3 linked regions of the Xenopus tropicalis genome follow. The protein of the gene in region 1 purifies or fractionates together with the protein of each later gene. This does not show direct contact. Links are inferred from orthologs where the notes say so. Each region holds a gene or a part of one and is shown in the gene's direction. Other genes may lie near its edges.

Region 1 (3,500 bases):
AATCATCATTGCCTGGCAGATATCTCTGGCATCTCTAGACATGTGGCACATCTAGACCTGGACACTAGGAAACTCATGTGGATTGTCCCTGTCTAAGAACTGGCTTTCTATCATTACTAAAAACCTCACATGTAAAGCCATCTGTAGCCAGCGATTGTCTTTGCCAATTAATGTGGTCTGGCTAGTTGGCCACAAGGCATGCAATATCTAGCTGGCATTAGAAACATCGTCATGTGCTGCTCAGGCTCTATAAACCTAAAAGGGACATGTTACAGATAAGCTGTGATTGCTGTATATTGTACCATTGCGTGTGAAACATTGCTTATGTGCAATGGCACAATAAATAACGGCATGTTTGTAGAAGGCTGGGCCCCCTTATTTATAGAAACTGGTTGCATTTTGATGTGGCCTTACATCTGGGGGTTGCAGCACTGGACTAAGATAATTGGCACAAAAATGCTGGGAATGCTCCTGCCAAACTGTTTTCATTATGTGCTGCAAGGGAGCTAAGCAGAAGCGACTGAATAGGCTATACACATGGACAGTTTTGGGCCACAAACACAATACACACTTCTGGCTGTAAAATTTGCTGCATCTGCAAATTCTAATGTCAGGACAACTAGTGTCTCTGTGGCAATTGTGTCTTTCAGAAAAATGACCCTGCTGTTTTCCTAATAATTTTTATTCTTAAAGGGGAACTCCACCCAAACACAACTTAAGCTTTTTGAAAAGAAAAAATAATTTTAAGCAACTTAAGCAATATACATCAATGAATGCAGCCTTTTCATAACTTTTAAAATAATAATATGGATTGGAAAAGTTACCTAAGCCTCGCCCTGCTGTTCCCCTGATGATCTGGCTAACTACTTGGGGACTCAAATAAAATTGCAACAATAGTCAACTGTCCTCAGCCTGCATCCTCAAAACCCCACACATCCTGCAATGCATTGTGGGTTATACAATTCCTGCATGCTGCCTGTAAGGCAGGGGGCTCAAACTCAATTTACCTGGGGGCCGCAGGAGGCAAAGTCAGGATGAGGCTGGGCCGCATAAGGGATTTCACAAAAAATTGGCTTTCAAGGGATAATGCAAGGCACGGCGGGAGCTGCCGATTGTGGAAATGACGTTATGCCATCATAACAGTTATTATGGGAAGACGTTCTGTGTGCACAATTAGCTCCTTAGCAGCTAATTGTGCACACAGAATGTCTTCCCATAATAACTGTTATGATGGAATAACGTCATTTCCGCAATCAGCAGCTCCCACCCACCGTGCCTTGCATTATCCCTTGAATCGCAATCCATTCATTGCTTTTGAGAAGGCGTTGGTGCGGGCCACAAAATACTGTACCGAGGGCCGCAAATGGCCCGCGGGCCGCGAGTTTGAGACCCCTGCTGTAAGGTGTGGAGAAGTTGTTATACTTCAGACTGGATTTTATCTAAAGGCATGATAAATGTCCACTTTATCTATCCAACAAATGTGATTTGTGTAATGATTTTGTTAGGATGTGACTATCATGTAATGAGCATCCTGCTTAAGAAATAATGTTCTAGGAAACATTAACCATTAAGTGATTATTAAGCTGCAGAATGAATGGCCATGTAAGTAGTGGTTGGTTATTTTCCTTCCAGTTTTGTTTGTTTTTTCTTTCTAAGATCTTAATTTTATCTGGCCTATTGTTTTTGGCTAAGCTAGGTTTATTGTGCTGTGTTTCAGGCAATACAAGAGGTTGTGTTCTCTGCTCAGAGATACTCGTCATGACTGCATTTTGTTTTCCAATGAGTTCCAGAACCATGCCTATCTTCCTAGAGAAATGGGGGAATCTGCTTTGGCCTGGCAAACAAGGTACTTCAGTTTGTCTGTAACGCTGCCACCTTATAGAATCAAAGCCTGACCTAACTGCACCATTCTTAATGGGATGGTTGATGTTTGAATGTCCTTGCAATTGGTCTTCATGATTTATTCTTTGTAGTTTTTTAATTATTTGCCTTCCTCTTCCCCTCCAGCCCAAATGGGGGTCACTAACTCTAGCAGCCAAAAACGATTGCTCTGTGAGGCTACAATTGTATTGTTATTATAACCTTTTATAACTTATTATTCTATTTCAGATTATCTTCTATGCTTATTTCAATCTCTTATTCAAACCACTGTCTAGTTGCTAGGGAAAATAAGACCCTAGTAACCAGATAGCCACTGAAGTACTTAACTGGAGAGCTGCTGATCAAAAGACTAAATAACTGAAAAATCATAAAAAATAAAAGATGAAGACCAGTTACAAACTGTCTCAGAATATCACTATCTACATCATACTAAAAGTTAATTTAAAGGTGAACAACCTCTTTAATGCTATTACTTAGGTGCATCTACAATTCTTGTGTATGGTACTATCAACACTGTCAGAAGAAAATCCCTGTTGTGATGGTCACAGAAGATAAGTCTGTCATAAGGCAGTACAACACCGAGACCCAAGAGGTGTACGTGGTCTCATTCCAGGTCAGTGTGAGGGATTTTGTATTAATCCAAAAGGCAGGAAGAAGTGCTAAGGGACAAACTGAGAACATGTTTGCTATCAAAATAAAAATTCTAACAGCTTTCCCCGCAAATTTGTCTCTCTTTAAATAATATATAAAAACATTTTATATAAAATAATAATAGTCGGGTATATGTCACAAGGAATAGAAAAATCATCCCAAGCTAAAGAATTGCGCTTGGATAAATAATGCATTTTATAGTACAATATTATATACAACAGTGCTGTCTAACTGAAGGCCTGGAAGCCAAGTACAGTCCTCCAAAAGGTTTTGTTTTGTTTTTTTTAAAAAAAAAGCTCTATAGATTTCTTTGTATGACATTTATTATTTAAATATTTGATATCAAATATGCGGGCCACTTATATGGACAGCAATATTTAACAATATGATTTTGATTCATCAATTTATGGATATGAAAAAAAAAAAAAGGAACATTTGTAGGAATACGGGAGAGTTAGCATGATAAAGTGCTGCAGGGTAAGTGCTTTAATGCATTTTATACAGATTTACCTGGAGACTTTCTGGCCCAATTTAAAAGGAGCCCTGGAGCTGTATAAATCTCTAAAAGAAACCCATCGAGAGCGCGAGCTAGAGAGCCGGGAGGGTAACGGCAAAGAATACCCGGAGCACCTGCCACTGGAAATTCTCGAGGCTGGAATTAAATCTGGCAGATACCAACAGGTGGGTGTTCTCCAATAATACTACAGGCCATGTGGGAACATATAGGCTGCAATGGAACTCATATCTACCACTTTCTGCCTTCTCCAGGGTGTTCTCAGTGTAAACAAGCACAGAGCTCAGTTGGAAGGTTTTGTACGACTTCAGGGCTTAGGAGGAAAAGAAACAGGTATTACAGGCACCTTTTAAGGCTTATAGCTCTGTTAACTCAGTAATGTTCTGTTACAGTTTGCTTTGTGAAAGGCATTTCTCCTATGAGACTCAAAAAATTTTGAGACAGCCAGGGAAAC
Region 2 (3,500 bases), on another chromosome or scaffold:
TAATCTTCAATTCTATGTTATAGATAGGCGGAACAAATACATCAACATAATCATTCAAGCAAGGGCAGATTATTATTAAGATTATCAATATGACTGTGGCCTACTTAAGGCCTGTGCCCAGTTTCACTCTCACATTTACCAGGTATCAGTCCTTAACTGGAAAGAAGAGAAATACATTTAGGAATTTCAATTAAAGGGGATGTTTATCTTTTTGCAAAGTCCTAACAGAGTGGTCAAGCTTTTCAAAAAAAAAAAAAAAACTGTACGCACTATAATTGTTTTTTGTTTTTTTTTAAAGTGATACAAAAGCCTATATATTGTATGAATGCTTCAAATATCTGCTTATTTGGATTCTGTCCATTCTCTGGTACTTAATTTAACACTGTTAGCCAACCAGATCAATGTGCAAAGGAATGACCATGGCCAGGCATGTACAATAGCACTAAATCCCTCTCTAGCTGAACTGGTGCACTTTGTCCCCTCCTGCTGCCAGTCTCTCCATCTGCACCAAACCTGAATTGTGTAATAAAAGTCATGGAAACACCACAGCAGTTTTTATCTCTAATAAAAACAAATTCACCTTAACTTTAACCTAGCCAGTAAGTTTGAGTTAGTAAAAATGTAGTCATTTGTAAGTATCAAGACTTTATGGTAGTATCTTACCAACTCTGTTCATTTTACCCATGCTTACAGTTAAAACACATTCGATCTAGACTAAGAGTTTTAATTCTTAATATGTTTGTGATTCAGGGATATGGTTATTAAGTAAAAAGAAATCGTTTTCTATATTGAATGCACAGGAAGACATCATATCTATTTGGAACAAAACTGCAAGTGATCAGGCAACCACTGCTCGTATTCGAGACACATTGCGGCGAGTCCTGAATTTGCCTCCCAACACTGTTATGGAATACAAAACGCACACAGACAGCATCAAGTATGTAGTTCTCAGCTTGTAAATCATGATGAAAAAATACATTTCAATTTTGATGGGCTAAACTATACTAAGGAATGCATTAAGAATAACTGTAGCTTATTGCTTCCCAAATTTACATATATGGGAAATTCAGTTTGTTTCAAGGGCCAGATTATATTAAAAATTACACAGGGAACTTTATGAAACTCTTTGAGGGCCACGTCCAACTCAAGAGGCTTCGGCTGGACTGCTTGGTATAGCTTCCTTCTTCAGCATAGGAGAAAGGCTCAGAACTGGATTGCTCAAAATTGTAAAATGTTAAATAATGTTAAAATAATCAAAAAATTTAAACTCTCAAGAAAAAGATACATGGTATGAAAGTTTGCATACAAAGTAAAGCTTGTCAATTCATTTACAACCTAATTGTATGTTTACATTGTTTCAGCAATCCATTGTTACTAGTTAGAGTAGTTTAGAATTATCAGCTGTTTATTGTTCCCTGTTCATTTTTAAAACTGCCATTATTCTTGATCAGTCAGATTCATCATACAAAGATTTAAAAGTTGCTTATATGTTTTTGGTCCCAGGTGCTGGCATATAATAAAAATTTGTCCTTATTTTATGTCACTTTTAACCAGTCATCAGAATAAAGTTCAAAGACATCCAGTTCCAGGATAAGTCATAACCGATAAAGAAAGTCTGACCAGTCAGCCACGCAGGATAGAGTACTCTGCTCAGTGGGAAATTAGGGTTGCCAGTTTCATGTCATGCAGAACAACCCATGTTGCAAAAAGCGTTTCTTCTGTACAACAGTACCTCTTTTAGAGGTTACTATAAATATAGATACCCCCACCTGAATATGGTATCCCTATCCAGCTGCACTAGAAAAACTGTTTTTTTGCATATTATGTGTTTAATCATTGTTAATGCTGAGGTCTGAGGTCTTTAGCCTGAGGTCTTGCAGCGGATCCTGATAGGCTACAAACTTAGGTTACTAAAAGAGAGGTTACAGATGCTTGCTTATGAAGGTCAGTTCTTAGGATAATGACAAATGGTGCATTTTGCTTCCCGCACCATTTCTAGCTTAGGTCGGTACACCCATTCAGGTTATCATCACTCAGAATGTGACATTGCTCATTTGCAAATTAATCACATGCCTAGTGGGCTACCAATGAGCTTGAAGTAGCTTGTGTGGCAAAACTCTGTGCGCTATTACCACTAGAGTGCTCTGTAGCTGTCCTACCAATACCTTTGAGGTATATAGCTAAAACTTGGGTTGCTCAGATCCCAGGGTAGGGATTCACACAGTGGGCTACACTAAAACACACATGGCATCTTTAAGATGGGAAAGGGCAAGGAGCCTTAAACAGTTTCCAAATCATTGAACAACACAAGGTTGACGTTTCCTCTACTGGCACTGGAGGGAAAAGTAATTCTTCATTTGTGTAATCTTTGGACCAAATGTAAAATTAATTAGTTAAAGGAGAACTGCAGCCATGCTAAAACCATAGGCACCCTCCAGAGGACAGCCTCCTCACTCCTGATCTGCACTACAGGATAGTCCCATTACAGTTTTGTTTGCTGTACTTGGTTATAAAAAGCAGAGGGGTTGGCGAGTGGCATCTTACGCCGTGTGATATTTTCTTCTCAGCAATCACTGAAGAAGAACATGCTCCTGGTGTGATCAGCAGCCCCACTGCACTACTTTTTTTATTTGTTTTGTATTTCTCTCTTGACTCAAGAGAGGTGGCTGTTGGACTGTAAACGAAAGAAATCCTTAGCCTTCAGTGCATTCTCCAGCTATAGTTTAGCAAGCCGTTACTTCTAATAAATGTCTATCAGTCCCAGTTAGTCTTATTTTTTAGATTAAAGTAAAGTAAAGTGCTATTTTTTTTTTTTCTTGTTTTTTGTTCTTATTTCTGGTTGCCCAGGGCCTGGGAAGAATTTCACGGCCTGGTGAACAACAGCGGCCGCTGAATGATTTCTCCCCCTCTCCCTGCATCCCACACCCAGCGGTAGGGCCTTTTTTAAAAACAATTCTTCCAAATAGTCACACATATGAAATGAGTGTTCCATTTTTTTGAAAGTATTTCCAGAAATGATCATTTTATGTGTGTTTGAATGTTTGCTTACAGCAAATAAAGTGGAGATGTATCCATGCACTGCCCCCTTAGCTATGCCAGGCCCACATTAGAGAGTTATTGAACAAAGCAGCATACTATGGTTTGTTTGCCATGTGCATGAGTTAATGGCTGTTTTTTTTATTTGCAGGGACAAAACAAGCTTCAGAAATACCAAAATTGCTTTGTGAACACAAGGATCTACTCCTGCTTTGCTGACCTGCTTTCAGTTTGAGTATTCTCAGTTTTAAGCACCACCATGTAGCTTTATGGCCGGTGGCCCAACGGTTCTTGGGAAAAATTCTATACAGCTTCAAATCTAGCTGGGATTGGGTCGAACTGTCTTTTTGTTGTTTTTGTTTTTTTTTAAGCCTGTTATCTACATCAATCCTCTTTCCAAGACCTATCCACTACAGCTGCATCCCTCACGGGAGGAAAAAGCATTGTACATTATTTTTGGAATC
Region 3 (3,500 bases), on another chromosome or scaffold:
TACCTTTCCTTTTCCTTTAAAGGGGTGTGACGATGGATGTTGGCATGACCAAGTTTGAAACCAAGTCTAAGGTTATTACATTGATGGATGCTCCCGGACATAAAGACTTCATCCCAAACATGATCACAGGAGCTGCACAAGTATGTTTTATGTATATGATGCACTACAACATTCTTGGTTCTGCAGGAATAGTTATAAACTAATGTTTTAAATGTAACTTTTACACTCTGACTTATTCTGTAAGCCAAAGCTTATATGTTCAGTATAAATGGGCAGCTAACTACCTCTGTAGAAAAGAGGCAGCCAGTAAGTATTGCCATGTGTAATTGTTATCACTTTATGGGTTAGCCTGGCTAGTCAGTTTTTTGTGAATTATCAGACATGGAGTTCCTAGCTGCAGGCAGTGTGTTTAAGATGCACATTAATTGCCACCTCACACTTTTGCCATAGGTAGTGGTTAAAATCTGAATAGAAAACAGCAGCACATTAAAATTAAAAAAGGGTGAAGACACACTGAGCTACTAGTAGCAGCTACTTTTTCACGGCTACTAAACTCCAGCAAATCCCCTGCCATAGACAATACTGAGAATTGCCTCTGCTAAAACACAGAGACGGTTATCAATAAATGATCAGCATTTTCTATTTTAGTAGCCATGACAAGTAGCTGCTGCTAGTAGCTCTCTGTGTCTTCACCCTAAATGAATAATAAATAGTTCCATGAATATGTAGGATCTGCCATTGCCCCGTTGCCCTCCAGGGAGGATGGACCTGTAGTTTAGGAGCCACTGCTGTAGGAGTTGCTGCTGAGGTAGATTAAGGTGTTTTATTGTCTAATCATAACATCACTTTTACCTTCTCCACAGCCATTGTTTCATTGCTTCCAGTGTAAACCAGGTTCCGCAGCATCAGAAGCAACATAGGTTTGGGAACAAGGGGCATCAATTCATATTTGCAAGGCAAGCAGGAAAGCTATTTGCAAGTCCTAATAAAGACTTATATATTCTGCACATAAATAGGAACCATGGAGAGGTAGGACCATTGACCAGGAGGAGAGACCAGTTGTCATGGAGATAAAAGAAAAGTAAATTATAAAGGTCTTGTTCCACATCATATAAAACCACAACTTTTTTCATAATAAGCATTACTATTGTTTGCTATCAATGGAAGGAGATTCCATATCACTCCATAGTTCCCTTTGACTTAAGTACAGATCTTATTTCTTCTAGAAAGTCAGGGTAACTGCAGTCTTAAGTGATATTGTACAAGGTTACAAAATGGCCATAGTCTGTGAAGGAAGTGAGTGAATAGAGCAGGCATTGGTCATTCAAGAGGTTAATATGGACCAGGCAGGTAGAAAGCATAGTTGGGTTAACTTTAACATCCTATTGTTATGCTCCCTCGAAAACCACCTGCTAGTTGAAGCTGTCCTGTGTGTCAGTATACAGTATGTCACAGGATTACAGGGAGAGGCTCACTACTGGTGTCACAGGGCTGCTGAAAATGGATAGTTTTTCTTCCCCAAGATCCCACATGTAATAGGCTTAGCAACATAAATTATTTATTATAACACTAAAATAAAACTAACTATCATGAATCATGATGATATAGCTTTTCTTTAACATACATGTATAGATTGTGGCTATGTACATCACCATTTCACTGTGCAGTGCAATCCCTTTGTCTGCAGTTTTTTAAAGTTGGGGGGCTGTAAACTAGACACATGTTGACTTCTAATTGTATAAACAGCTCTTGATTATTATCATTATGTATTTATAAAACATATTCCACAGCGTTGTACAATAAAAAAAGGAACAATAACCACAAGAGCTACACGAGGTTAGAGGGCCCTGCCTGACGGTGCATCCATATCTAAAGGAGTAGGCTGCATTGTAGACTGAAAATATTAAGTCAATATAGAAAGGCTAATTGTAACATGCTGGGTGATTTATTAACTTCTCTACTCTACAAGGTTTGCTTAACATTTGTTAGAAAATCATCCGTCATGCTAAATCTCTGATGTTTCTTCCACTCCCAAAATAAAGTTTGTCAGTACAAACAATTTGTAGACACTAATATTGCAATTTAGCTCAACACTTTAATGTTATGTTAAATCTTTGCTTCATTGTAGGCAGATGTGGCTGTATTAGCTGTTGATGCTAGCCGAGGAGAGTTTGAAGCAGGCTTTGAAGCTGGAGGGCAAACACGTGAGCATGCCTTATTAGTTAGGTCTCTTGGAGTAACCCAGTTAGCTGTTGCTGTCAATAAAATGGATCAGGTATGTATTTTGCTACAGTTATTTATTCATAGATGCATTTCATAGATGTGCATTTCTATAACATTTGTAAATACCTAGTGACAGTACTTAATTATGGGCATCCTTTAAACCAATTAAACTTCGATTGGCCTTTCAAATGCTTCATTCAGGTCTGTCCTTTTTCTATCCACACAGAAAAACTTTTAAGTTTTAAGAGTGCCATTATTCCTGTTTAGACCACACATTAGCCTATATTAAAGACTATTTCATCATGTATGATTATGTATTTTTTTCGGTTTTCATTTCACTTGTGTAATAGAAAGGACCAGTTTAGTGCAGTTTTTTCTATGTATTTTGTTTTTTACAGGTTAACTGGCAACAAGAGCGATTTAATGAAGTCACCTCTAAACTTGGCCACTTCTTAAAACAAGCTGGTTTTAAGGTAATGTGTTTCACAGACAGTTTGTTGTAGTTTCTGTTCTAATTAAATACTTTCAAAGTATTGTTTTTATTTAATGTTGATATAGCACAGACAAATAAGAATTTGATGGGCTTCTCATTAGTTATGCTAAATGTGAGAGTAGTTTGTTTTATTTTTTTATTTTTTTTTTAGCTACCAGCGTCAAGTTATAACAAAGTGTAAAAACTCTGGGTTTACTAGAGTCACTTACTGCTTTGTACATCCTTTCATGTCTGTGGAATAAAGGTTCCTTAAACCACAATTCCTAGTTCCACAAGACCCTATGCACTTTTTCTGTGTAATAGAACATACAATATCTAGATAGAATTGAACTTAGAACCCCAGTTCTGAGTGCATCACCATCTATTGTACAGGTATGGCATCGCTTATCCAGAAATCTGTTATCCAGAAAGTTCTGAATAGACTCCATTATAAGCAAATCTAATTTTTAAATCTGATTTACTTTTTCTCTGTAATTATAAAACAGTACCTTGTATTTGATCCCAACTAAGTTATCATTAATCCATATTGGGGGCAATACAAGCCGATTGGGTTTAAGTTATGACTTAAGTTATGGAGATCCAAATTATGGAAAGATCCCTTATTCGGAAAACCCTGGGTCCTGAGCATTCTGGATAACAGGTCCCATACCTGCACTAATATGATTGCAACAGGCTAATATTGCAGGATTAATGTAATGTAATGTAACTTACCAGCTTGGGTAATTGCTTTGTTGTTAGTCACTTTTGTAGGTTCAGATTTTATTGATCAATCCAAAACATTACT

Evidence for each region.
Region 2: the proteins of dis3l (region 1) and eukaryotic translation initiation factor 4E type 2 purify together in Homo sapiens (affinity purification with mass spectrometry; 3 studies listed by BioGRID and IntAct, with this or other methods). This does not show direct contact. The link is inferred for Xenopus tropicalis from reciprocal best matches to the Homo sapiens genes DIS3L and EIF4E2.
Region 3: the proteins of dis3l (region 1) and hbs1l purify together in Homo sapiens (affinity purification with mass spectrometry; 5 studies listed by BioGRID and IntAct, with this or other methods). This does not show direct contact. The link is inferred for Xenopus tropicalis from reciprocal best matches to the Homo sapiens genes DIS3L and HBS1L.

Annotation. Positions count from the first base shown.
Region 1 is NC_030679.2:117,114,418-117,117,917, forward strand, and holds part of dis3l (DIS3-like exonuclease 1), read left to right. Parts: intron 1-1,717; coding exon 1,718-1,846; intron 1,847-2,358; coding exon 2,359-2,494; intron 2,495-3,036; coding exon 3,037-3,213; intron 3,214-3,300; coding exon 3,301-3,379; intron 3,380-3,500. UniProt on the Homo sapiens protein: Catalytic component of the RNA exosome complex which has 3'->5' exoribonuclease activity and participates in a multitude of cellular RNA processing and degradation events.
Region 2 is NC_030681.2:101,897,807-101,901,306, reverse strand, and holds part of eukaryotic translation initiation factor 4E type 2, read left to right. Parts: intron 1-800; coding exon 801-937; intron 938-3,187; coding exon 3,188-3,227; coding exon of another isoform or gene 3,228-3,271; 3' UTR 3,272-3,500. UniProt on the Homo sapiens protein: Recognizes and binds the 7-methylguanosine-containing mRNA cap during an early step in the initiation. Acts as a repressor of translation initiation.
Region 3 is NC_030681.2:71,584,933-71,588,432, reverse strand, and holds part of hbs1l (HBS1-like protein), read left to right. Parts: intron 1-22; coding exon 23-140; intron 141-863; exon of another isoform or gene 864-956; intron 957-2,128; coding exon 2,129-2,275; exon of another isoform or gene 2,276-2,621; coding exon 2,622-2,696; intron 2,697-3,500. UniProt on the Homo sapiens protein: GTPase component of the Pelota-HBS1L complex, a complex that recognizes stalled ribosomes and triggers the No-Go Decay (NGD) pathway.